Lepisosteus oculatus: one gene and its partners. The protein of the gene in region 1 purifies or fractionates together with the protein of each later gene. This does not show direct contact. Links are inferred from orthologs where the notes say so. Each region holds a gene or a part of one and is shown in the gene's direction. Other genes may lie near its edges.

The links. The genes of interacting proteins can lie anywhere in the genome.
Region 2: the proteins of atxn2 (region 1) and pabpc4 purify together in Homo sapiens (affinity purification with mass spectrometry; 4 studies listed by BioGRID and IntAct, with this or other methods). This does not show direct contact. The link is inferred for Lepisosteus oculatus from reciprocal best matches to the Homo sapiens genes ATXN2 and PABPC4.
Region 3: the proteins of atxn2 (region 1) and lsm12b purify together in Homo sapiens (affinity purification with mass spectrometry; 4 studies listed by BioGRID and IntAct, with this or other methods). This does not show direct contact. The link is inferred for Lepisosteus oculatus from reciprocal best matches to the Homo sapiens genes ATXN2 and LSM12.

Annotation. Positions count from the first base shown.
Region 1 is NC_090717.1:12,985,568-12,993,372, reverse strand, and holds the start of atxn2 (ataxin-2), read left to right. Parts: upstream 1-4,803; 5' UTR 4,804-5,336; coding exon 5,337-5,443; intron 5,444-7,805. UniProt on the Homo sapiens protein: Involved in EGFR trafficking, acting as negative regulator of endocytic EGFR internalization at the plasma membrane.
Region 2 is NC_090706.1:2,444,544-2,451,779, forward strand, and holds the start of pabpc4 (polyadenylate-binding protein 4), read left to right. Parts: upstream 1-4,221; 5' UTR 4,222-4,798; coding exon 4,799-4,994; intron 4,995-7,236. Other genes in the region: coagulation factor XI-like, read left to right, coding at 666-831, 1,444-1,613, 1,887-1,982, 2,114-2,253, 2,531-2,687, 3,380-3,387.
Region 3 is NC_090723.1:7,309,918-7,317,674, reverse strand, and holds the start of lsm12b (protein LSM12 homolog A), read left to right. Parts: upstream 1-4,742; coding exon 4,743-4,869; intron 4,870-7,757. Other genes in the region: g6pc3 (glucose-6-phosphatase 3), read right to left, coding at 1-77, 788-894, 2,877-3,094. UniProt on the Homo sapiens protein: Nicotinic acid adenine dinucleotide phosphate (NAADP) binding protein. Confers NAADP sensitivity to the two pore channel complex (TPCs) by acting as TPC accessory protein necessary for NAADP-evoked Ca(2+) release.

The DNA of each region.
Region 1 (7,805 bases):
CGAGATCTCTGATGAATTGTCACAGATTATGTAGAAAATGTATGCTTAGGAGTTAGTTTGGAACTTTTTGTTGGCTCTTCTGCTGTCAGTGGCACCTCTTTAATATACTCACAGTTGTTACCAATAGCACCTGTACATTAGATGACGTTTCATTTTTACCCCAAAATTATTCAACTGGAATGTGCAATTTGCATTATAGACTCACTCCTCCTGTTGTTTCTGTCATCCTTTCCAGTGCCATGTGTGTGTTTCGGCACCACTGTAACATTGTGCTGCAGTTGTATTATACTTGTCACGGCTGCAGATTGAAATTTGGAAAGGCTTGTTGCATGTTGTTTTTTTGACCATCCCGAAGTGAGCACTTTGCAAAAGGGTTTTTACCCTTGGGCTAGCAGGACGGGATATTCCTCTTTTGGCCACAGATTGGGTTCCTCATCTCATACAAAGAGAAGCATGAATAACGGAAGGCTCCTGCATTGTATTTACTTGACATCCTTGTCTAGGTACTAGGGCGGCCCGTGTTTGTTCAGAACCGCTCTCAAGTGGAGCGTAGGATCTGGTGCCCGACCCGTACGGCTGTCCGGCCGAACCCGGGTCACGCGTGGCAGCGCGAGGACGTTCGCCACAGGTCTTCATCAGAGCGCGACGTAGATTTCCCTTCTCCCCGGTCAAGGAATGACGGCCTACACCTGCAAAAAAAAACCACTCCCCGCCCAGCGTTACGCTCCCTCTTGAAAATGTATTTCCGAAATGACGGAATGTATAGCGTCGGGTATTTTTTGGGCCGTACTCATTTCAGTTATATAGTTCAAACCTGTTGAAAGAGTACTGCTCTCTCTGCGCTGTCTTGTGAAAAGCACGTTTGTCTTGATTTTCTCAACAGTGGGGGTGGCCTCTCTGGGGCATTGCTGTGTTTTACATACTATATTCTGCAGGAGTCCACATTTATTTCCCAAATATGACTAGATCCTGTTTACCTACATCTCCTGCTTACAATGGCCACCTTCCCTGGGTCATCCGAGTCACTTTCTGGTCTAAAGAAATCAAAAGGCAAGAGTTATTAAGACCTTTTTTTCTTTCTTTCTAATATTCCCTTACATTTTCTCAGTTTTGTTTCTCAGGTTCCCTGCCATGGTGTTTATACAGGCTCTCTTAGTTCAGATGGGGTTTTGCTTTCGAGTTCGGGTGGTGGGGATGAGGGGTGTGCCGGGGGGCTCCCAGGCAGCGTGGACACCCCCGGCACTGGAAACCTGAGCCCCAGCTCAAAGCAGAGCAGAGGGGCCAGCAGAGCACCCCTCCGCCATCGCTGGGGTTGGGGCTAGCTTTCTTACCAGCGCCCCGCCAGGTCAGAGCACCTCCGCGCCGCTGCGCAGCACCAGCTCCCCGGCCGGGCGCTGGGGAGGAGGCAGGAGCGAGGAGCCCGTCTGGCCCTCCTCGTCCTCCCTGGGCTGGACTGGAGGTGGGGTCCGAGTGTAGAGCTAATTCGCCCTTTATAACGAGTACATTTGAATTCTTATTCACGCCTGTACTCTCAGCGTACAGACGGGTAAAGAGAACAATACTGTTTCTATTTAAGCCAGTACTACAAAATAATAATAATAATAATAATTAATAATTGCTTACACTTATATAGCGCTTTTCTGGACACTCCACTCAAAGCGCTTTACAGGTAATGGGGACTCCCCTCCACCACCACCAATGTGCAGCATCCACCTGGATGATGCGACGGCAGCCATAGTGCGCCAGAACGCTCACCACACATCAGCTATCTGTGGGGAGGAGAGCAGAGTAATGAAGCCAATTCATAGAGGGGGATTATTAGGAGGCCATGATTAGTAAGGGCCAATTGGAAATTTGGCCAGGACACCGGGGTTACACCCCTACTCTTTACGAGAAGAGCCCTGGGATTTTTAATGACCACAGAGAGTCAGGACCTCGGTTTTACGTCTCATCCGAAGGACGGCGCCTGTTTACAGTATAGTGTCCCCATCACTATACTGGGGCATTAGGACCCACATGGACCACAGGGTGAGCGCCCCCTGCTGGCCCCACTAACACCCCTTCCAGCAGCAACCTTAGTTTTTCCCAGGAGGTCTCCCATCCAGGTACTGACCAGGCTCACACCTGCTTAGCTTCAGTGGGTTGCCAGTTGTGAGTTGCAGGGTGATATGGCTGCTGGCAAAAGAGAGTATCTTCCAGTATACAGTAAGATACAACACACAGTATAGAAAACAATATACAATTTACAGTCTTGTATGCAGTGTAAAAAAATACAACATTCTACTGTAGGCGGTAATTGATAGCAGTCAGTCTGCATTTAGCTGTTAGTTAGCCTGAGTACTGTGGGCCCAAGCCAGATGCTTGGAAATCTGCAACCCTAAGATACAAAGCAAAGGTTCCCAATCCTGGTCCTAGAGGCCCACACACCTGGTTTTCATTCCAGCTGCATTTAATTACTTAATTGAAGGCTTAATTGAATTAAATAAGGTGCTTGATTGGAATGTTTGCGGTGCTCTCTAGACTCAAGAGTTTGGAATTTGATTTGAGTTAGGAAATGCAGTAGTTAAAAGGCTACCTCCCACAGGGTAACATCTGACAACAGCCACACAGTTCAGATTAATCCTGTGTGATGAAGTCCATTACAAATCCAATCATGTAACTGACGACGAGGATGAAAGAACAACCCCCAGGACCGAGGCTGGGAACCGCTGGTGTTAAGAAGCTCCAAAGTGTGTGTGTTTAAACTTAAAAATGACCGATATGTGTGTGTGTGTGTGTACAGGGAGGAAGGGGGCAAAATCCGTTTGTACGTGTCGCAGCGCACAGCGTTCCTAATTACTGAGGACACTGACATGGTGCAGATTGTACTAAGGCATCAACCTGGTGGCCTTCACACGACGGGTGTAACAGAGCACACATTGTGAACAGCTGTTCCCTGGTTTTTTTGGGGGAAGTGTGGAAATAAACTTTTCAAGAGTGTGGTGTGTCGTTTTAACCTGTCTGGCTATTTTTATTTTAAATGCAGTGTAGTGTGGCACATTACAGTCCCCGAACAAGTCGACAAAGGAATGTGTGGTTGTGTGATGTGAAGACGGCTACGGTACACCCCCCTCTCTGATTTTACACCAGTAAGAAAGGTATGGAAATGAGGAGAGGCTGCCCCCCCGGCCTCAGTACAAGCATCTCATCTGCAAGAAAAGGCTGAATGAGATCCTTGGATTGATTCATCCAATCAGCCCTTAAGCCCTTTGTATAAGTACCCTCTTCTACCCTCGCCTTTCCCGTTAGGTGTATTTTCATTTCTTCTACCACCTGCTTGTGAGACCCTGCCCCCATCTGCATTAAATGTGTCTGCCCAGATACAAACTGTCCCTAAGTGCTTTTTGAAATGTTATTTGCTGCTTCTTCAAATGAGGGTTAAACTCTTAACCCAGCTGGACCAAACACTAGCCCACCTCTGGCTCTCACAGCTTCTGTATCCCGGCAACACTCGCCAAGAAGGGGCGGGCCACTGTTAACGCCCCATCTGTTTTTGCCCACGTTGCTGTATTAGAAAGTACGAGTTGGCTCTTGTCAAAACGGCACCGTCAATAAGCCACATGCGACATGCTGATGTCTTGACTCACTCCTTGAGTGTCTCTAGCTGCCCCGTGCGGCTTCACTGAGCTCTTGATGTGAATAGAGGCTCCAGCCCGCCTGGAGGTCTGGGCCGAACGCGCTCGTGTGGCCCTCGGTCAGACTCGCTCTCCGGGGTCCCGTCTTCCAGCGGGAGACCTCCTCAGCCCCAGCGGCCTGTGAAGACTCCCACCCTGCCTGGAGGTGAACGCTAGGGTATCGGCGTGACCCAGAACCTCTAGGGGGCGCCCTACCCTCGGGTCCACTGTTTCCAAACCAAACCTTCAGTGTGGCTTCAGGGAGCACTGGGACGGAGGAGGTGCTGACCTCCGAACGAGACATTTAGCTCAGGTCCTGACCACCCGTTTCCCCACTGCTTTATCCACTGCAAGGTCATGGGGGAGCCCGAGTCTCTCCCAGAAAGCTCGGGACACCCTGGGTGGGATGCCGGTCCATCGCAGAGGTCCAGACTGCTTGGGCATAACAAAATTCTCATTTTTGCCTCGAATTTTTCAAAAACTTTAAGGGTGTTAGTGCCAGTATCCTGAATTGAAGCACACCGGTCTCTCGTACAGTCTGGTCTCCCTGCAGTCTCCCTTAATGGAACTGGTGATGCGGTTTCTCATTCCTCCCCCTGAACTGATGCGATTCAGAGGAGAAGGAACTGGTTCCTGTTGTGTGGGAAGCGCTCCGGGATAATCCACAGGGATGAGAAGTACTATATGCAAGCAAGGAATTATAATTTAAAGTGACATGAATGAGAGATGACTACGCAAGTCAAGCTCTACCTTGCAATAAATATGCACATCCAGCCCCAGCCCTGGAGACGTTATTCTAATTGGGGATGTCACTGACAGGTAACAAATGAAAGCGGGTCATACGGTCAGTAAAGACCGAGGATATCCGGCTTTAGTCTGCACACGCAAAACAATAAAAATAAAATTAAACCGGGGGAGAGGGATCAGTGGACGCTGCCAATTCGTGAAACGAAAAATGATATAAAGTGTTGCTAATTTTATGCAAACCGGTTAGAGAGCCGTGTCATTAGTGAGCTGTCTTTGCAGCTACAGCGCACACAGGCGCGCGCGGACCCTACCCGCGAGTCCCGCTGCCGAGCCTCGCGCCGGCTCACGTGGTGGTGGTGGTGAGGGGGGGGGGAGCGGGCGCACCACGGCCACAGGACCTCGGTAGTCCTCCGACTTCCTGTAAATAGTGCGCCGGCCCGCAACGCCGGCCCCGGCGTTTAAACCGACCCCCAGCTCAAAACCCCTCTTCCCCCGATCGGGTTCACTGAAAACCCCAGGCAGGCTGCGCTAATCTGGCCCCCAGGAGAGCTGTTAGGCGGCTGGAAGGGGAATTTGGTGGATGTACGCAGCATTGCGCCCTGGATATATCCCTCCGCTGTTTTTTGTCTTCTCTCAGACTGTTTTGGTCCCTTCGCTGATAGCAACGGAGAGAGACGCCGAAGAAGCCGAAAATCCTGTCTGTTGTCGCTAAAATACAACACAACGGGACAGGAATAACGCTTTCATTAGCTGAGGATCATCGACGTACTGTCTTTTAAAGAAGAAATAGTCTGTATTTTTTAATTGCGAAAATTAGTCGTCGGTAGTGTCATCGTTATTTTAGTTGTCTCTTTTTTTTTTTAGGTTGTATCCTTTACCAGACATTAGCCGATATACCGTTAAGTACGTTGTTTTTTTTTTTATGGGATCATCGTCATGTCCATGAAGCAGGCCGGAGGTAACCGAAAACCCGGCGGCGGCCCCGCTGCGGCCTCTGGTGCCGGGGGAAGCGGGGGAACCGGCGGACGGCAGAGCCTGGGCAGGTCGGTGCTTTCAGATCCCTTGACACCCCGCCGGCCGTGTCCCGGGAGCCGCGTTAACGTGGGTTGCCCGGGGGGGTTTTGAGGTTTGGGGGGTGCGAAGACGTGAATGTCTGTTGAAATAAATGTGAATGCTCGGGCCTAGCGCACCTTTCCGGGCCTCCTGCAGCAGCACGCAGCCTTCGGCTTTTTTTTTTTTTTGTCGCTGGTCAGCGTTATTGAAATGCCTCCTCGGTGGGAGCCGTGCCCCACGCCGGCTGGCGATTTCGCTGCGCGTTTGCCGTGGTCGGGCCCGGCCCGAACCTGCACGCCTCGCCTGCCTTTCACGGAGGTGTGTCTGCGGGCGGGACGTGAGCCCGTAGGCTGGACCGGTCCCTGCCCGCGGTGGGGTAGCGGGCGAGGGCCGGCGTGTGCCCGCTGTGTGGCGGGTTGCAAGAGGCTGCGTGCCCGGGGCGGCTTCTGCGGAGCCGCGGCGTCGGTCGCAACCGGACCTTCAGCATCTGGTGTGTGTGTGTGTGTGAGGACGAGAACCGGCACGGCCGTGCAGTCGGTGCGCTTTGCCTTGGCCGAGGCGTCAGGCGCTGTTGCGTTGCGCACACCGGCGTGAGAGCTTCACGTTTGAAGCGAGGGGCCCTGCTCCGCGCCCAGCCCTGTACCTCTGCGGCAGCCCGGTAGCCGTACAGGCCTTTCCCCACCCCAGCTAAGAGCTGTTAACTCTGCCCCCAGTGTAGCCAGCGATGCCTTCGGGGGGAGCCGCCAGACCCGGGCCGGGGCGCATCCGTGCAGCCGGAGCGGCCTTGCAGAGTTGCCCACCCCCCCATTTTAAATCCACTCGTGGGCCACATCCCGGCTGCGATCCGGGCTTCCCCTCTGACGCCGCCGTCAGTGTTTGAACGGGGTGCAGTGTTTTCTAGCGGCTTTGCCCTGAATCTGCTGGGTGGTGGGTGGGGAGACTGACCTGTGCTGCAGGTTTCGTGGAGGAGGGCAAGGGGTACCTTGAAGCGTCTTGCTGCATGGGCCTGCTCTGGCTGGTAACCTTTCATGCCGTTTTCCGCCTCGTTTTGTCTGTGCAGTGTTACCTTCTTCTCTACACGATGCATTAACAAGTGTGTATCGCTGTGTGAGGGAGGTGGGGTGGATTGAACAAATTACACTCGTGAATGGAGAGGCAGACCATTTTTTTTTTAAAGGAAGGTGGAGATCCTGTTGCGAGCGCTATTCCGGCCGATTTCAGTGAAAGCTGATTTTTTTTTAGAAAAAAAGGGTTTTCGGCAGCGGCTTCTGTTGTGACCTTCTCTTGTGCGGAGGAATAATGTTGGGGTTGCGTTATTGCTCACAAGTGGCGTTTTGAATCGTGTCTGGAAAAATGACTAATGAAGCTCTCTGCAGTAAGGTCTGGTTTGAATTCCCGGTCAAGGAGTAGACACGGTGATGTTTTCATCAAGTAGTTTAGATCAGGAACTATTAACCTATTGAGTCAACAAATACCTTTACTGAGCTGATAAAAGGGCGCAGCTGAAGCCCTGCATTTGAGTGCTTTGACATGAATGCTTTTAAAGGTGTAGTGTTAATATACTGTGTCAGTGGCCCGGTTTTGAGCTTTGCCTCCAGGAAAAAAACCCAGGGCGCCGAGTTGGGGTACGTGGGTGTACCTGCTGGGGCTTATTGAGTGGGCGAACTTGTGTTCATTGCTGAAATGGAGAGCCTTGCTTATCCTTACAGGTTCTTGGGGAGGCTGTGGAGAGCAGCTGACAACTTTCACCTGGTTTGTGTGCTTAGGGAATCGGATTGATCAAGATAATGCCTGGTTTATGCACTATTTGTAGTGAACTTGATTTCGATTTTATTTTACTGGGTGGCATGCTTCTGGGCAAACGCCTAATGAAAAAAATCAAAGGACGTCACTAATGACTGGTTTTCAGTTTGTCCTTGAGTAATGTTAATATACTATAGTTAAAATAAGATTAAGCCCTGTACTTCCATGTTAACTTCTTTTACTGAACTTCAGAATAATGTTGGAGGGGTTATTTCAGTGGTACTGTATCCCCATACATCACAGTTTTTATGTTTCTCACTTCTCACAATGATCAAATTTCCAAAGGCACTTCAAGGTCATTTTTATTTTTATTGGTGTTGGAATTTCGTCTCTAAGACGCTAAATTGGGATGTTTTAATTTAGCCAACCAGTCCATTGGAGTGGGGAGAAGCTCAGTTTCTAAAGCTGGAGCTAACAGTAGGGTTTTTAAAAATGACTTTAAAGGAGCACTTGACTATGCATTAGAAGCATTTTCTTGGTGATGCATTGTTTTTAAAGCTGTCACGTCATAATAGTTTAATAGCCATGAAGTCTAATGAATGGACCATA
Region 2 (7,236 bases), on another chromosome or scaffold:
CCTTTTTTTATCAGAGTTTTATTCAGAGCATTCTAGCTTTTTGTATTCAGCGCTGGGGAGGTGCCTTGTCCTAGCAGAACAACAATAAGTTAAACAAAGTGATCAGGACTGGTGGCAAGATTACCAGAGCATCCTTGGGCTCAATAAGTCCAATTATTAATTGGACAGATTAATTATTATTAATCTTGCACAGAAAATCTTCGATGACCCCTCTTTTGAGAATATACTCTCCTGATCCCCTGTAGAAAGACTAGGAGAGCATTTACTTCCTTTATACCTAAAAGCATTCAATTGTTAGAACAGTGGAAAAAAATGTCTGTAGTTAGGGATCTTCTTCTTGTTATTGTTTTCAGACTCTTCAAGAGTTAACTGTCTGTTTTTTAATCATGTGGTACCTGAAGAGTTCTGACTGAGCGATGTTGCTGAATGTTGTTTTATGTGATATATTATGGTATTGTACTGTTGCTGTGTTGTATTATGGTCGTATGTGTAACATGTTTATGAGCTCCTGATGCCCTTAGGGGCAATAATGGTGAACACAAGGTTCAGAGCAATATGGTCTGTGGCCATGTTCTCACACACGAGCCGGTGCCAGGCCCAGGTGTTGGCGACGAAGGCGGGATTTCAAGCTCACAGAGGCCGCCGGCTCTTGTCCTTGCTCTCAGACTGCGGGGAGGTGGACGACACGCAGGCGCGGATCCTGGGCGGGACGAGGGCGGAGAGGAACAAGTGGCCGTGGCAGGTGTCCCTGCACGAGGACTCCTCGCACAGCTGCGGGGGCAGCATCCTGAGACGGCGCTGGGTCGTCACCGCGGCGCACTGCCTCGTAGAGTGAGCCCGCGGCACGCCGGACGGCCCGCAGCAGACACACCGGCCCGCAGTGCAGTCCCAGACGGATCTGGCTCAAGCTGCTCGGCTGTAGGGCGAGGAGGGAACCAGGGGGCAGCTGCTCAGGGGCACGGGGGGGGTGGAGGAGGGGTACAGAGGATGAATGCAGAGGAGGAAAGGCTTATGTGTGGAATTTATAGCATTTTTTAAAATTTATCTCAGCAGTGATTGTGAGACAGGGCAGCTGAGGCAAAACTGTAGGCAAAATACTGTAGAATAAACCCGAGAATCATAACGTTAGCATTCACATTACGGTTCTGCTACGATTATATTTACTGTAACTTGACTTTCGAAAAAAACGTTTATAAAATGCAAATTTGACTCACGCTGAAAGGAAAAGAGACCTGATGAAGGCTCCACAGCTGAAACGTTGTGTCTCTTTTCTTTTCCTTTCAGCAGGGAATAAACCTTCACCTGTTTCTCTGCAGCCTACACATGCTGACGCAGCTACCTACTTGAACTTCGAGAAGCGGAACTTTTCGAGACGTTGCATGAAGCTAGTCAGGGGTGCTGCCCACACGTGCTGACCCTCACTGTTCTGGTACACTCCTGCAGCTCCAAGGCGTCAGACCTGAAGGTGTACGCTGGGATACTGAGGCAGAAAGAAACACGCTCCGCGGAGTACTATGGCGTGGAGAAGATCCTGATGCACTCGGAATACGATCAGGGAGATCAAGAAAACGACATAGCTCTGCTGAAACTGGACAGGCCCATCACGTACGATGGTGAGCATTTAAGAAAAGTTAATTGCCGCCAAACTACATAGTAAAAAACTGTCAGGTTGTCTTGGGCTTAGGAGAAGGAAGAAGTAAAGGTTAATTCCAGTCTGAAATGTAGAAATCACAAACACCACATTGCGGGTTTGTATACACAAACCGTAAGATCGTGTGTTGTTTTTTATGTGTACAGGGCATTTTGACATGGTATTTTTTGTATTTTCATTTGTCCTTCCTCCTATCCCTCCAAAGCATTTTGACACTTAGTTTTTGTTGTTTTAGACTCAAAGTGGCCTATCTGCCTCCCAAACAAGGCAAAAGAGAAGGAGTTTTGGGGACAGAAATGCTGGATCTCAGGCTGGGGGAAATTGGCTTCAGGTAAGCCATGAAGTCATGCAACAAGCTTCAGCTGTACCTCGGGCTGCTTAATCGTCAGAGCGTTTGAGCTCCCTGCTTAGCAATTCAGCTTATAGCATTAAAACCTCTTGCTGTTTTATTTCCCTTTCCAGGAAAATCGCCGAGTTTCCTTCAGCAAGCAGAGCTCCCTCTGATCACCACTGAGGCCTGCAGGTCCTTCTACAGCAACAGCTCCATTGCTGACACCATGCTCTGTGCAGGTCTCGAGGAAGGTGGCGTCGACACCTGTCAGGTAACGCAGAATGTGCACAGAGCTGTTGCACAGACTGCCTCACGGGAAATGAGCCTAGAATCCACAGCCCCCCATGACGATTTATCTATTGAAGCTCTCTGGTACAGAGCTTTAATTGCGAATGAGGTGCATACCACAGGGCTGATCTCTCTCCCGTTTCACCTGCAGAGTGTGTGTGCTGCTGGCCAGGAGTAGGGCCCCGGGGGCAGGGCGTATGAACTCGGGCCCCCTAGAAGACACTAACCCCCTGCTCTGTGCTGTGCTCCTCCCGCACCAGGGCGACAGCGGCGGGCCCCTGATGTGCGAGTCGCAGGACAAGTGGTACCTGATGGGCGTGACCAGCTGGGGAGATGGCTGTGGGGTGGCAGGCAAGCCCGGGGTGTACACCCGAGTGGAGAAGTACCGGGACTGGATTAAAGGCACCATCTGCCAGAGTAAGATCCCTCCCTCGCTACAGCACGGCTCCTGGCTGGGGTGGTGGGGCCCAGAGTACCGTCACCCTGTGACCCTGTGACTGGCGGGAAGCACTCTAGTGGGCGGCGCCAGGGTGACACCCGTCTGGGCCCAAAACTGAGGCCCCCGCAGCCTGCCATCCGCCACGGCGGCCCACGGCGGGCGCCAGTGTGCTCTGCAGCTTCACAAACCAGGGCCGGGCCCGGTGCCCCCAGGGCGAAATGAAGGAATGAGGATTGACCACATTCTCCCAACGTCTGCAAGCGTCCTGCTCGGTACAGGTTCAGTCTGACGCGCGGCACCTCCGGCTTGCTGTCTCGTGAAGACTGGCCACTGGGAAACGTGCTATTCCTGACTGCACTGCAAAACACGTTCCTCCATATTCCTCCTTTCAGCTTGTAGTGTCACCACTCGAGGCTCGGACACGCAGTGATTGAGCACAGTGAGCCCACCTGCTTCGTGAGATCTGTGCATCGCCTCTGTGACAGACATCGCACTGAGACTAAACTGAGATGTTATTGAAAAAAACATTCGTTTGTCATACAAAAAAAAAAAGAGATGTTATTGCAGCACGGCCTGGCAATACAGGGGAATCTCCGGACACAGATCTGCCATGTGGTCAAGTATGATCATGAGGTGTTGATACCAATCCTTCTTTCTTGTTTTTTTCTAGATTCCTGAAGCCCAGATGGGATTTGAAGATAAGCCACCTGGGCAACAGCTTACTCATTTACAACGGCCAGTCCAGGCTGTACAACAGAAGAGTATCTAGTGGAACAGAGACACCTAAAGAAGGAATATGGACACAGATTTTGGACACAAAAGAAATACCAGTGCACTAGCCCCGTCTTCGCCACCCTTTTCTTTCATTCAATCTCTGTTTCGCCTGTTCATAACTGGGAGCCATAAGAGCACATCGACATGTATATTCAAATATACTTAATCTCTCAGATCAGGACGTTTCTGTGAGTTTTATTACAACATGGAAGTTTTAATCACATACTGTAAAAGGATGCACAGCGAGGCTAGGAACGTCGGAGTAATAATTAATATACCGATTGTACTGAAAAAGAAAAGAGAGATTTTTTTTTTACTGAAATGGCAGAATGAATGTAGAGACAGAAGGGAAAAGATATTATGAGTTTTCTTGCCCGTGCATTAGCATTGTTTTCAACCCAGTAAGGGAAAACGTGTTAAATTACTTTTTTTTTCTCGCAGGCTACCGCCTTCAATTAAAAAAAAAAAATCGGGATGGAGCACTGGAGCTGCCTGGTTTAATATCAGACTGAGTAGGGAAACGGGCGTTGGTATTTTCCCGGATTCCCAGCTTGATTCACAGCACACAGATGTCGCTATAGCGGGCTCAGCTGGGTAGTTCTGACAGGCTAACATGCTCTTCCTTTTCCGCTGTCAGTCGGTGCTTTTTTTATCCCAAGTTTGACCCTGGCAGCTATTTCCTCTCCTCTCTCGCGCTATAAAGTCCCCACGCGTTCCGCACGCAGTCTCTTTCCCTGGCCACAAAACAGAGCGAGTGTGAGCACTCACTGCTCTTTCACAACTTCAAGAAAAAACACAAAAAAATAAAAAAACACAAAATACACAAAACCTGTGAAAAAAATACCGGAACTTCAAGACAAGGCGGAAAAAAAGGAAAATTAAAAAAAAACGCAAAATAATACTTTTTTTGTTTTATTTTAATTCTTGATATTTACAGAAGGCCTCGGGCTTGGATTGCCTGAAGTTTTAAAGACGAGAATTTCCATTACAATTATCAGTAAGAAGAAACAATATTCTTAGCAAGACACTGCACTGTTTAAAAGGACTCAGTATCCCAGATTGAGGTTATTTTGGGACTCTATTTTTCCTTTCTTCAGCTAAGATTTTTTATTGAAACTTTTACAGCATCCAGGCTTTTTGTCTACAAATACTGACAAAATAATTTCACATTAGCGGTGGATCCATTGACCTCGACTAAATTAAACTGTGCAGTTCGGGGAGCGCAGCTGTTGTGCTTACTGAACATTACAACACACACACACACGTACATAAATCCACCGAAACATCTCAGCCGTCCGCTATTCAAATCCGAACAATGAACACTGCGACAGCAGGGAGTTACCCGATGGCTTCTCTTTATGTCGGCGACTTGCACCCCGATATCACTGAGGCGATGCTCTACGAAAAATTCAGCCCCGCCGGCCCGGTTCTGTCCATTCGGGTCTGCCGCGACATGATCACCCGCCGCTCTCTGGGTTACGCCTATGTGAACTTTCAGCAGCCCGCAGACGGTAAGCACAGTATATACTTCGTGTTGGTGCGTTTGTGTGTGTCGGCATGGCTGTGACTCTTTAAATCCCCCCACCTGCAGTGTGTCAACTTGGGCAGAAGCAGAGCAGCGCTCCCTCTCCCCCGTGCGCGTTTTTCGTACTGCGGTGAAAAGACGCAGGAAGCCTGATGCTCTCGCCCAGCTCACATGCGTTGTGTACAGTATTAACACGGTGAAGGAGGAGCAATAAAAAAAAACACCATTGCATATAGAGAGCTTATGGGGTCTGTCGTGTCTAAACACAACGGCATGGTCTGAAAGGATTCTGGTAACAATAATTGATTAGATCTTCGATCAGTACGTTTTTGCTTCTCCTGCATGCTAAACGGCAGGGCGCAGTGAATTTACTTGAGATGTGCGGTGAAGTATAAACAAAGTGCGAGGAACTAAGTAGAGGGTATAAAAATGGCAAAGCAGCTGAAGGGGTTTTAGGGAGCATTGCAGGCTGACTGTTGGGGAGCTTCCTCTGGAGTTTAAGCCCACAGACACAAACACATACTGTACCTCCACAGCCAGGTGCAAGTCCACCTGTCATCATTACTTGTGGGTTCTGCGCCCCAGCAGTTCGGGAGAGTGAAGACTCGTGCAGAGCAGGCTTTGTCCCCCTGGAGCGATCATGCCCAGGCTTCCCCGACACTAGGTTCAGCTTCACGGCTTTGAGAACGTTTACTACAGAACATAAAAACAGTTACAGACGAGAAAAGGCCATTCCAAGACCATTCCAGCCTGTTTAGCAGCTAGCAGCTGATTGATCCAGACAGTCGGGGGATCGTTTCAACAACACGGCTGGACAGATTCCACTCTCTCGCTGTCCTGCGGCTGAAGAAGTGCCTCCGGATCTTGGTTTTAAATGCGCTTCCCTGTAGTTTCCACTTGTGAGCCCTGGTTTGTGTTTCACTGTTCGTTCTGAAGAAATACACAGGGCCGACTTTGTCCTTTTGCGGATTTTGAGTATGTGTGTTAAGGTCCCGTCATACTCCTGTCTGTTCAGGACTGAAAGGGTTCAGTTCCTTCCGTCTGTCAGGGAGGGACACTCCCTTCAGCCCCAGGATGTATCTGGTTGCTCTTGTTTGGACTGATTGCAGCAGGATCTTTCTATCACATGGTAACCAAGAGTGTGCACAATACCATGGGAAATGTAAATTTGTATAGTACTTGCATATTGTCCCCTAGTTTTACCAAGTATTTTGGTTTCCACAGCTGGGAATTATGTATTCTCACAACTCTCAGTGCTTTACTAAACTGTACCCTGCTTTTCCCATCGTCCACCACTTTTGCGACCTTTTCAGCTAAACACAGAACAAAAGTGGATAATAACGAAACAAAGAGCTGAAAGGACATCTGAGGTATGAAGAGTCTCAGACTACAGCAGGTGCGTCTTCACCTTGCCCTTCCCATCAGCCCTGTCGATTTCTGTCTCTCCTGTCTTCCCTCTGCCCCAGGCTGAGCGGCTGCAGACCAGCTACATGGAGACCTTATTCTTCATCTCCATTCGGGCTCCCAGATTACCAAGCGCAGAAAGGCTGATTGGTTTTGCACTTTTATGAGAAACAAGCAAAGCATCAGAAGGCACCTGACAAATTGTTCTTTCGCCATCTCCATTTCTGAGCACTCAGGACAAGCAGTGCTGCTGGGCTTGCACCGCTGGCCAGTTTCAGGCAGCTACTTCTCTCGGCTGTCCCTGACTGTGCCCGTTCTGGGTCCTGTCCCTGTCTATGCCCGTTCTGGGTCCTGTCCCTGTCTATGCCCGTTCTGGGTCCTGTCCCTGACTGTGCCCATTCTGGGTCCTCTAATGACTTGCTGTTCCGCTGCCTTTAGATTTCTCATGGAAAGATGCACAGTGAAATGTTTGGTGTTGTGGTGCACTGCTCCTCCTTTTTCCACATTTGGAGCATGTCTCATCCAGAGGCCTGCTGTTCGACTGCTAGCCCGACACATACACAATGCGAGCAGGGCACAATAGAGACTTTGTTCGTGGACTCCACAAAGCAAAACCCCAAGTGTGCAATTTTTGAACAAGCCTTTATTGTGGCTTTGTCTGATTTCACGCACGGCAGTTTTTTAAAACTGTACCAGAGGGGCCTCATCCTTCCACGCTCCTCTTTTCCAGCACATGGCTTTGCTTCTTCCTGCGCTGTCACAGGCGTGACTGTTTTGTCTCGAGTGCGTGCGCAATGCTGAGCTCCTGACGTGCTCCTCATGAG
Region 3 (7,757 bases), on another chromosome or scaffold:
GTAGAGGAAGGCGGACAGGTCGGACGCCATCACCCACCACACGGCCGCCGTCACCATGGCGTGGCCGGAGGGGCTGCCTGGAGATGGGGGGGGAGAGAGAGTCCTGACGAGTCAGCCCTGAGGGGCATCCCGGTACCCACAGAGCCCACATAAAACCTACTAGACTCTGACTGGGCCCCCGTACGGCCTGTTCTATACCCCTGCCCACTGTGGTATCGATTACAACAGCAACCACACGGCCCCAACTCCCCCTGATCAGCCAGAGCATCCATGTGTGAATAATGAATGCAGCTATAGGTGCACCAAACACTTTTTTCTGTCAATTCACGATGCTTTATTGGTATGACCAATTAGTAAATCAGTGTTGCCAAAGTTAAACAAATACAATTAACATACAAAACCTACAGACGTTTACAGTAGAGACACATCATAAGGTATTGACGTATAAATATATGAACATTATTGAGAGACAAGCTCACTGTTCCACATGCTGTTACTGGAGGTCACATACTGGCCGGCTAGTTCCCTCCTCCCTCTCCCAGTAGGACTGGGAGTTGTTGTGATCTTGAAGTAGTAACTGTAGTGAAGTATTATACCTTGATTATCTGGATATTTGCCTTCATCAGTAGCTGTAATGGTTGTTTTTGGGCAGTCTTCTTCTTCCTGAGCTATGTGGATGCACTGGGTCTAGGTGAACAGCAGCTGTCAGCCGTCAGTCCTGAGTTAGGATTCCTGACGTACTCGCGTTTTCATTGAAAAAGGAGGCAGCGAACTGCCCTCCACTCACCTGGTCCTGTCTCGCACGTGGAGGGGAACTGCCTGACCTGCGGCTGGTTTGTGCGAAACAGCTGGGATTCTCCTATCCACCAGAAGGGCCTCTCGCCGAACAGCACCCTGGGGACAGAGAACAGTGCATCCCAGTCCATCAATTCCGTACCACCCAGTACAGCACTCACCTGCACCCTGACCTCGCTTCTGAAACAAGGTCATGCCCCATTGTCACGTCATGTCATTTGCCAAACTGCTTTTTACCCTACGGTGTTGCGGGAAGCCGGAGCCTCGAGAGCAAGGCAGGGTACACCCTGGACAGGACGCCAGTCCATCGCAGGGCCAGTGCAAGCCCATCATACAGGGGGACAATTTGGAGGCCATGGTAAAGGCTGAGGGGGGAAATTCAGCCCGGACACCGGGATAACTCCCTACTCTTCTCGAGAAATGTCCGGGGATCTTTAATGACCACTGAGAGTCAGGACCTCGGTTTAACATCTCATCCGAAAGACGGCACCCACTACAGTATAGTGTCCCCACCACTATACTGGGGCATTAGGACCCACACAGACCGCAGGGTGGGCACCTCCTGCTGGTCCCACTAACCTCTTCCAGCAGAAACCATAGCTTCCCAGGAGTCTCCCATCCAGGTGCTGACCAGGCTCAACCCTGCTGAGCTCCAGTGGGTAGTATTGGGTATAATAAATAAGTAGAGCCAGAAGGATTCATGGGGACTGGCGAATCAGCATTTCTTAACATGTAGATTTATACAGAAGATGGGCAAAGGTTTAGATCTGAATCTTTTTTTCCCATGTGTTTTTTTCCCATGCTTGTCCCAGCTGGGACAGCTAAATAGAAATAAAAATGTGAGTGCATGTCTTCCAGAAAAGCAGTAGCACATCAGATGCACAGTGCTGTTCAACCCTTCCTTGCTGTGTGGTCAACTCTCTGTCCTAATCAATGATGCCTCTCCTGTTTCTACACAGTAATCCCTTAATTGCACTCATTTACGATGCACATGCCTGCTACTGTGTATGATGTATGCATATCGGCCTAAATATTAAGAAACTCCATTAAATATTATGTTAAGGCCTCAGCGAGCACAGGAACAGCTTGAACAGCAGATGGCCTGTATAAATACTGTTTGTAATATCTGCTGCCCAGTCCCAACCCATACCTTTAGAAAGGATAGCCTGCAATTGAAGTTGTGGTAACAGTGTGTGGGACTAAACCGTGTGGCCCTCTGGGTTTCAACAGGATTGAGGTCCGAGCTGGGGTTTGTTCTGGCCAAGGAAAGCCATGATGTCTTTGACCTCAGATTCTATTTATTTTGACTTGGGGGGGGCAGCACTAACATCTTGGCCAGCGAGTACATAGAAAACTGCATGTTTAACGGGGTTCAGCGCGGGGCTCCCCAGCTGCAGAAGTGACGTCAGCCCGCTCTGCCGTCTTCAGAACAGGCATGTTGACCGCTGTTTTAAGTACTGGCGCGCAGGGATCATACGCATTCCACCAATCTGCTGGAGCAATTACAGGGTTAATTTAAGCACCAAATGCAGGGTAGCACTCGGAAGCATGCGAAAGGGGTATATAAGAAGCAAGGAAAAAACTGGGATTTTCAGATGCCTTGGAATCTAGGGTTTATAGAAACACTTCTGCAAAATGCGGTCATTTAAAGCAGAGGCCAGTGCACGAAACTGGACAGCACACAAAATAGTTTTTAGCTGAGGCGCTTGTGGCGTACGGAAACTGGCTGAGAGGTACAGTAGCGATTGCACCACCTGAGCGCCACCAGAGTTGCAACACTATCTCTTGCCACTGAGGGGACGGACGTCAGCTAGTAGCAGCAACACGCTGAGCTGGTCTGAGGTCCCAGAGTCCGCAACAAACTTCCCTTTCGCAGCAACAGCAAAGGTAGTTTGGCGTCATCGTCCAAAACCCGTGACAGACACAAAGCGGAGAATGTCGTGCACAATAATACCAGTTACTGACGCTTTTCCTATACATTAGCAGCTTATTTACAGATGTCCTGCGGTAAACGCATGCGGGAAGCTCCTAAGGTCTGTCCCCAAAACCCGGACTGTTCATGTAACCAGTTTCTCGCTTACCACTTGAAAATGAGATTCAGCCACTCCGAAATGATAGCGGCCCAGATGACGGCCACTCCGGTCCTCCGGCTGAGGTAGACGGTGGCGGGGAAACAGAGCAGGAAGGCGGCTTTGGGGCTGCCCAGGTGAGTGATGGACAGCCAGAGTTTCTCATGGTCCATCAGCCGGTTCTGAAGCGCCTCGGCGATCCGGACGCCCTGGGCGTGAATCGCATCCATCTTCAGACGAGCTGGTTCGACGAGGACGGACCGTCGCCACAACTTATAGGAGTTACAAACGTTTCAAAGTTAAAAGAACGGCAGATAATGACTACGGGCTATATGCACTGACTGTAGTGACCTTAATTGCAACAACTAGGAGGACCGCTGCACTGGATATTCTTTAATTTTAAATACTTAATGGGCCAGTGATGCCGGGATGAAGCGCAGACGCAGGTATCCGAGAGATGCTGCTACAGGCGGAAAACTTGGCGCGGTCATTAGCTCTGGGCTGGCTCCTGGTGCTTAATTTTTTTTGACAGCATCATCGGGCTCGATCATTTCCTGACTGCCGACAACCGGGAGAGGAAAGGGACAAACTTCAGTCCCGGACTCGTTTGTTATTTGGTGACCTCTTCAGAGAGATGGTCTGGCACGCACTGCCTTTGTTGGGGGAGAAAGTAACTTAAAAAAAAAACAAAACAACAACAACAACAACGTAGCCCATTACAGTAACAGGTTACATGTGTAAGGGACTGCTTTTGTAAATCGAAAAGAAGTCGGCAAACGTTGAAGAGGTAAAGTATTACTTCATACCAAGTATAACATTGTATATGTTAATACTTTGGCTATTATCTCGTAACTAGTTATGCAGTGACCCTATACAGATGACTTTTAAAATTAGTTTGCCCCAGTTTTTTTTTTTAAACTAGGAACTTTATCGAACTGTCTGCTACAACCCCTTATGTTTTGGGGGTCCTATACAACGGCGGTTATATTCTCATGGGATGCAAAGCGGATTTGAATGCCTACTGTGTTGTGATGGCACTACTAGAACACAGTGCGCAGGGATGCTATATACGACTGGGTTCTGGGGTCAGAGGTCAGGAGAGAGTTTCTGGGGTCGGAGGTCAGGAGAGAAAGTTGGAGAGTGTGTCATACATTAATAATAATGATAATTAATAATTGCTTACACTTATATAGCGCTTTTCTGGACACTCCACTCAAAGCGCTTTACAGGCAATGGGGATCCCCTCCACCACCACCAATGTACAGCATCCACCTAGATGATGCATTAACTTTATTAAAGCCAGTTAAACGTCTATACGCCTCCGGATGATCATTTCTACGCATAACACTATACCTACAAGCTGTGAACACATATAGGGCTCTTAACGTAGAATGTTCTCCCAAACGACGTCTTGAGATTGCTTAGATATTATATAAACGAGTTTCAGAAATCAATTTATGAACTCCCGCGTCCCGATAAGGTGACGAAACTTCATGCTTTTACTATCACGTTTACCAAGTATTATCCGCCTAATACAGAATAAAAATGAATGTAATGTATACTATATATACGATTATGTACTTTATCAAGCTAGTATTAGTATTAGTCCAAGGAGGTTTCTATTCCTTTATTAAAGATTCGTTTGAAACAATGGGGCTCAATATAAACATACTCACAGTACAGAAATGTTCTTTCAGAATCACAAAAACAAGACGTGAATAATATGAGAATTAAGCGGTTATTTTCAGAAGTCTCTGCCAGAATTTGAAAAAGAACACACGATTACGTCAGAACGCGCCTCTCACGTCCCAGTCGAATACGGTGACGCCATTACGTAGGCTTACGTAAGGCTGGCGCTCCGGTTTCCTGGCGGAGAAGATGGCGGCTCCAGGACCGGGGGAGTACTTCAGCGTCGGCAGTCAGGTCGCTTGCCTCACCTGCTTGGGACAGCGCCTGCAAGGAGAGGTCTTGGCTTTCGACTACCAGTCCAAGATGCTGACTTTGAGTATCCTTTTGCGGTGTTTGGGGCGGCGGCGGCGGCCGCTCGCTGGTCTCTCCTGCTGGCGGAGGGGCCTGAGGGGTAACCGGCCGCTCTTGCCAGATAGTGCTCCGCGCAGGCGTAGTAACGAAGGCAGCCACCGTGGGGGCCCGACCGTGTCCCCAAACTAGATCGGGGTTCACCTGCTTAGAGTGGGCCCGCACCCGGCCCCAGCTGCCCCCGGTAAAGCCAGCGGAGCGCGGCTGGGCTCCGGGTCCGAGCGTTGTAGCCAGGAACCCAGTCCTTGGTAGGGAGCACTATTTGGCAGCTCCAGAAGGGGCATCATGGCTGTTTTTTTTTTCCTTCTTTATATCATTCTTTGAAATAATACGAATCAATTGACCAAAAAAACGGCTAGGGGCGCGGAAACGTGGTCGGTAGCACTAAGGCTTAGTGGCCATTTCTGCCAGCGGGGTGTTGTGTGAGGCGGCGGCGGTGGCGGGGGGGGGAGGGTGAGTTTGTCCACGTTTTTCTCCTCTGCGATCTGTGTGCCTCTCGCCGCCTGTGCACCTACCACGGGGCGAGACGTGAGCGCAGCGCGATCGCTCGCCGGCCGTCTCGGGTGCTCTTTCCGACGGCGCCTCGATCCGTTCGTGGTGGAGTGGGGGGGCGCGGAGACAGGCCGGCTCTGGAGAGGGGGTGCCTGTGTTGTGGTTCCCCCTCCCGGGCCTGCACGTCGGCTCATGGCGAGTTACACCTCCGAGCCCCGATCGTCTCCGGCCACGATTCCGCGGTTTACTCCTCTCGTCGCGCCTCAGACGCGATATCCCAGCGTGGTGGTTGGCGTTAGCGCCGCGACCCGTGGGTTTAACCGGGGGAGAAAAAAAAAATCTCAGCCACAGCCAGGCGTGCTGGGTGCTATGTTGTTCAGTGTGTAATTGAAATCCCTCCTTGAAATTGACTATGGCCGGTTCGTTGATCACAAGCGGATGATAGCGAGCGGTAGCCATGTCCGCTACCCGGTGCAAATGCCGGGCAGTTATTTTTGCGGTGTGTCGATGGCACGTCTTGTTAATTCGCTGGTTTATGAAAATGCTGTAGCCCAGCCTATTGCAACCCGGTCGGCAAGCTGTTGTTAACAGCAGGCGTTACTACTCGACTGGATATCTAGAAAATGCACAATAGTATGTACGAGTTCTACATTTCATTTTTTACCTACATTGTAGATCCTGGTCTATTACATTTTTCTGTGCCTCTTTTAATGAGATGCTTTTTTTTTTAGTTTATTACAAAACATATTCCCAGGTGGGTACATAGCTGTTGGTTTCAGTGATAGTGATTGCTTTATGTTGAGAATCAGCTGGCAGTATACATGCAGGCAGAGGTAGATCTTTCCTGTGCGCATTATATATCCCTCAGGGCAGGGACTGACACTGGTCTGTGTTCTGTCTCTGTGGACTGCAGGGATATCTGAATGAAGATTTTCCTGAGGATGTCTGACAGTGTCTGGGCAGTAGGTAGTTGTGCTCTGGCAAGAACACAGAGAGGCCACCCAGGTATGATTGAGGCTGGGCGGAGCTGATGGTGTTGGCCGATGTTGACCCTCGTCACCTGCGGTTCCTCTTGCCTGGAAGTCTGTATTTTTCAACCTTGTCGTAATGTCATTCTTGTTGTCCTTGTAGGTTTCCAGCAGGCCCGATCATTGTGAGACCTGCAGAATGTGCTGGAATACAATCAAATCAGGCATTTAGAAAGCAATTTAAAATCTGTTAAATCGTTTCATTTTCTACAGAAAGTGAAACCATTACTTAGTTAGCCTGGAGCTCTTGTTTGTTTTTTATATCTGCTTTGGGGAAAAAAAACAATGCTAGTAATTTCACCAGCACTACTTGATCTTTCACATTAAGACAGGACCATTCAAATTAATGAGTTCAGACTTCAGCAGGTTTGCAGACTGCTGGACAAATTGTAAATTCAAGGGAATTTTATTTTTAATAATAGTTCCTTACCCTTGCTTAGTACTTCTCTGGACACTGCACTTTACAGGTAATGGTAACTCCCCTCCACCACCAGTGTGCAGCCCCACCTGGATGATGCGCCAGTCCACTCACCACAGTGGGGAGAACACTGGTGAAGCCAAATCAGAGATTAGGAGGCCATGATTGGTAAGGGTTAATGGGAAATTTGGCCAGGAGTAACACAGCTACTGTGCCTTTTTACAGTATAGTGTCCCCCTCACTATACTGGGGCATTAGGAACCACACAGACCGCAGAGTGAGCGCTCCCTAATGGTCCCACTAACAGCTCTTCCGGCAGCAGCCTTAGTTTTTCCCAGGAGTCTCCCATCCAGTTACTGGCCAGGCTCACACCTGCTGAGCTTTGCTGGATTGTCAGTTGTGAGTTGCAGGGTGATAGAGCAGCTGGCCATATTAGGTAGCAGGCAGTTACATGAAAGTTGCACAAACTATTTAGCAGGACATGAGGAAACTGCTATAATTCTGTTGTATTAGTGCGACTTGGTTAAAGTCTAGTGTGAATTATAGGAAATCAGGTTTAGTGAGGAATTGAAACCTTGTTTCTGTTTTTACTGTTAATGTTTTAAGCAAGCTAGTCCTGTACAGCATAGTCATAGATTTGCGTAACTGATCATAGTTAAAGATCTGAATTAGCACGTGTTCTGAGGTGGACTTGATTACTTTGTTACTCGGTTACAAACTTTGCCATTGTTTTATCAGGCTATAAACTTTTATGCTGGGTTGAGATATTGAGCTGCCCTTGTACATGCGTCGTTTGACATACTGATAGTCAGAGGGGCGCATTAAAATTGTTCAAGTGTAGTTGTGAATTTTCCATTTCTCTTTTTCATTACTTAGCCTTTTATGATGACATCGCAAACCTGTTACCAGTAATGCATT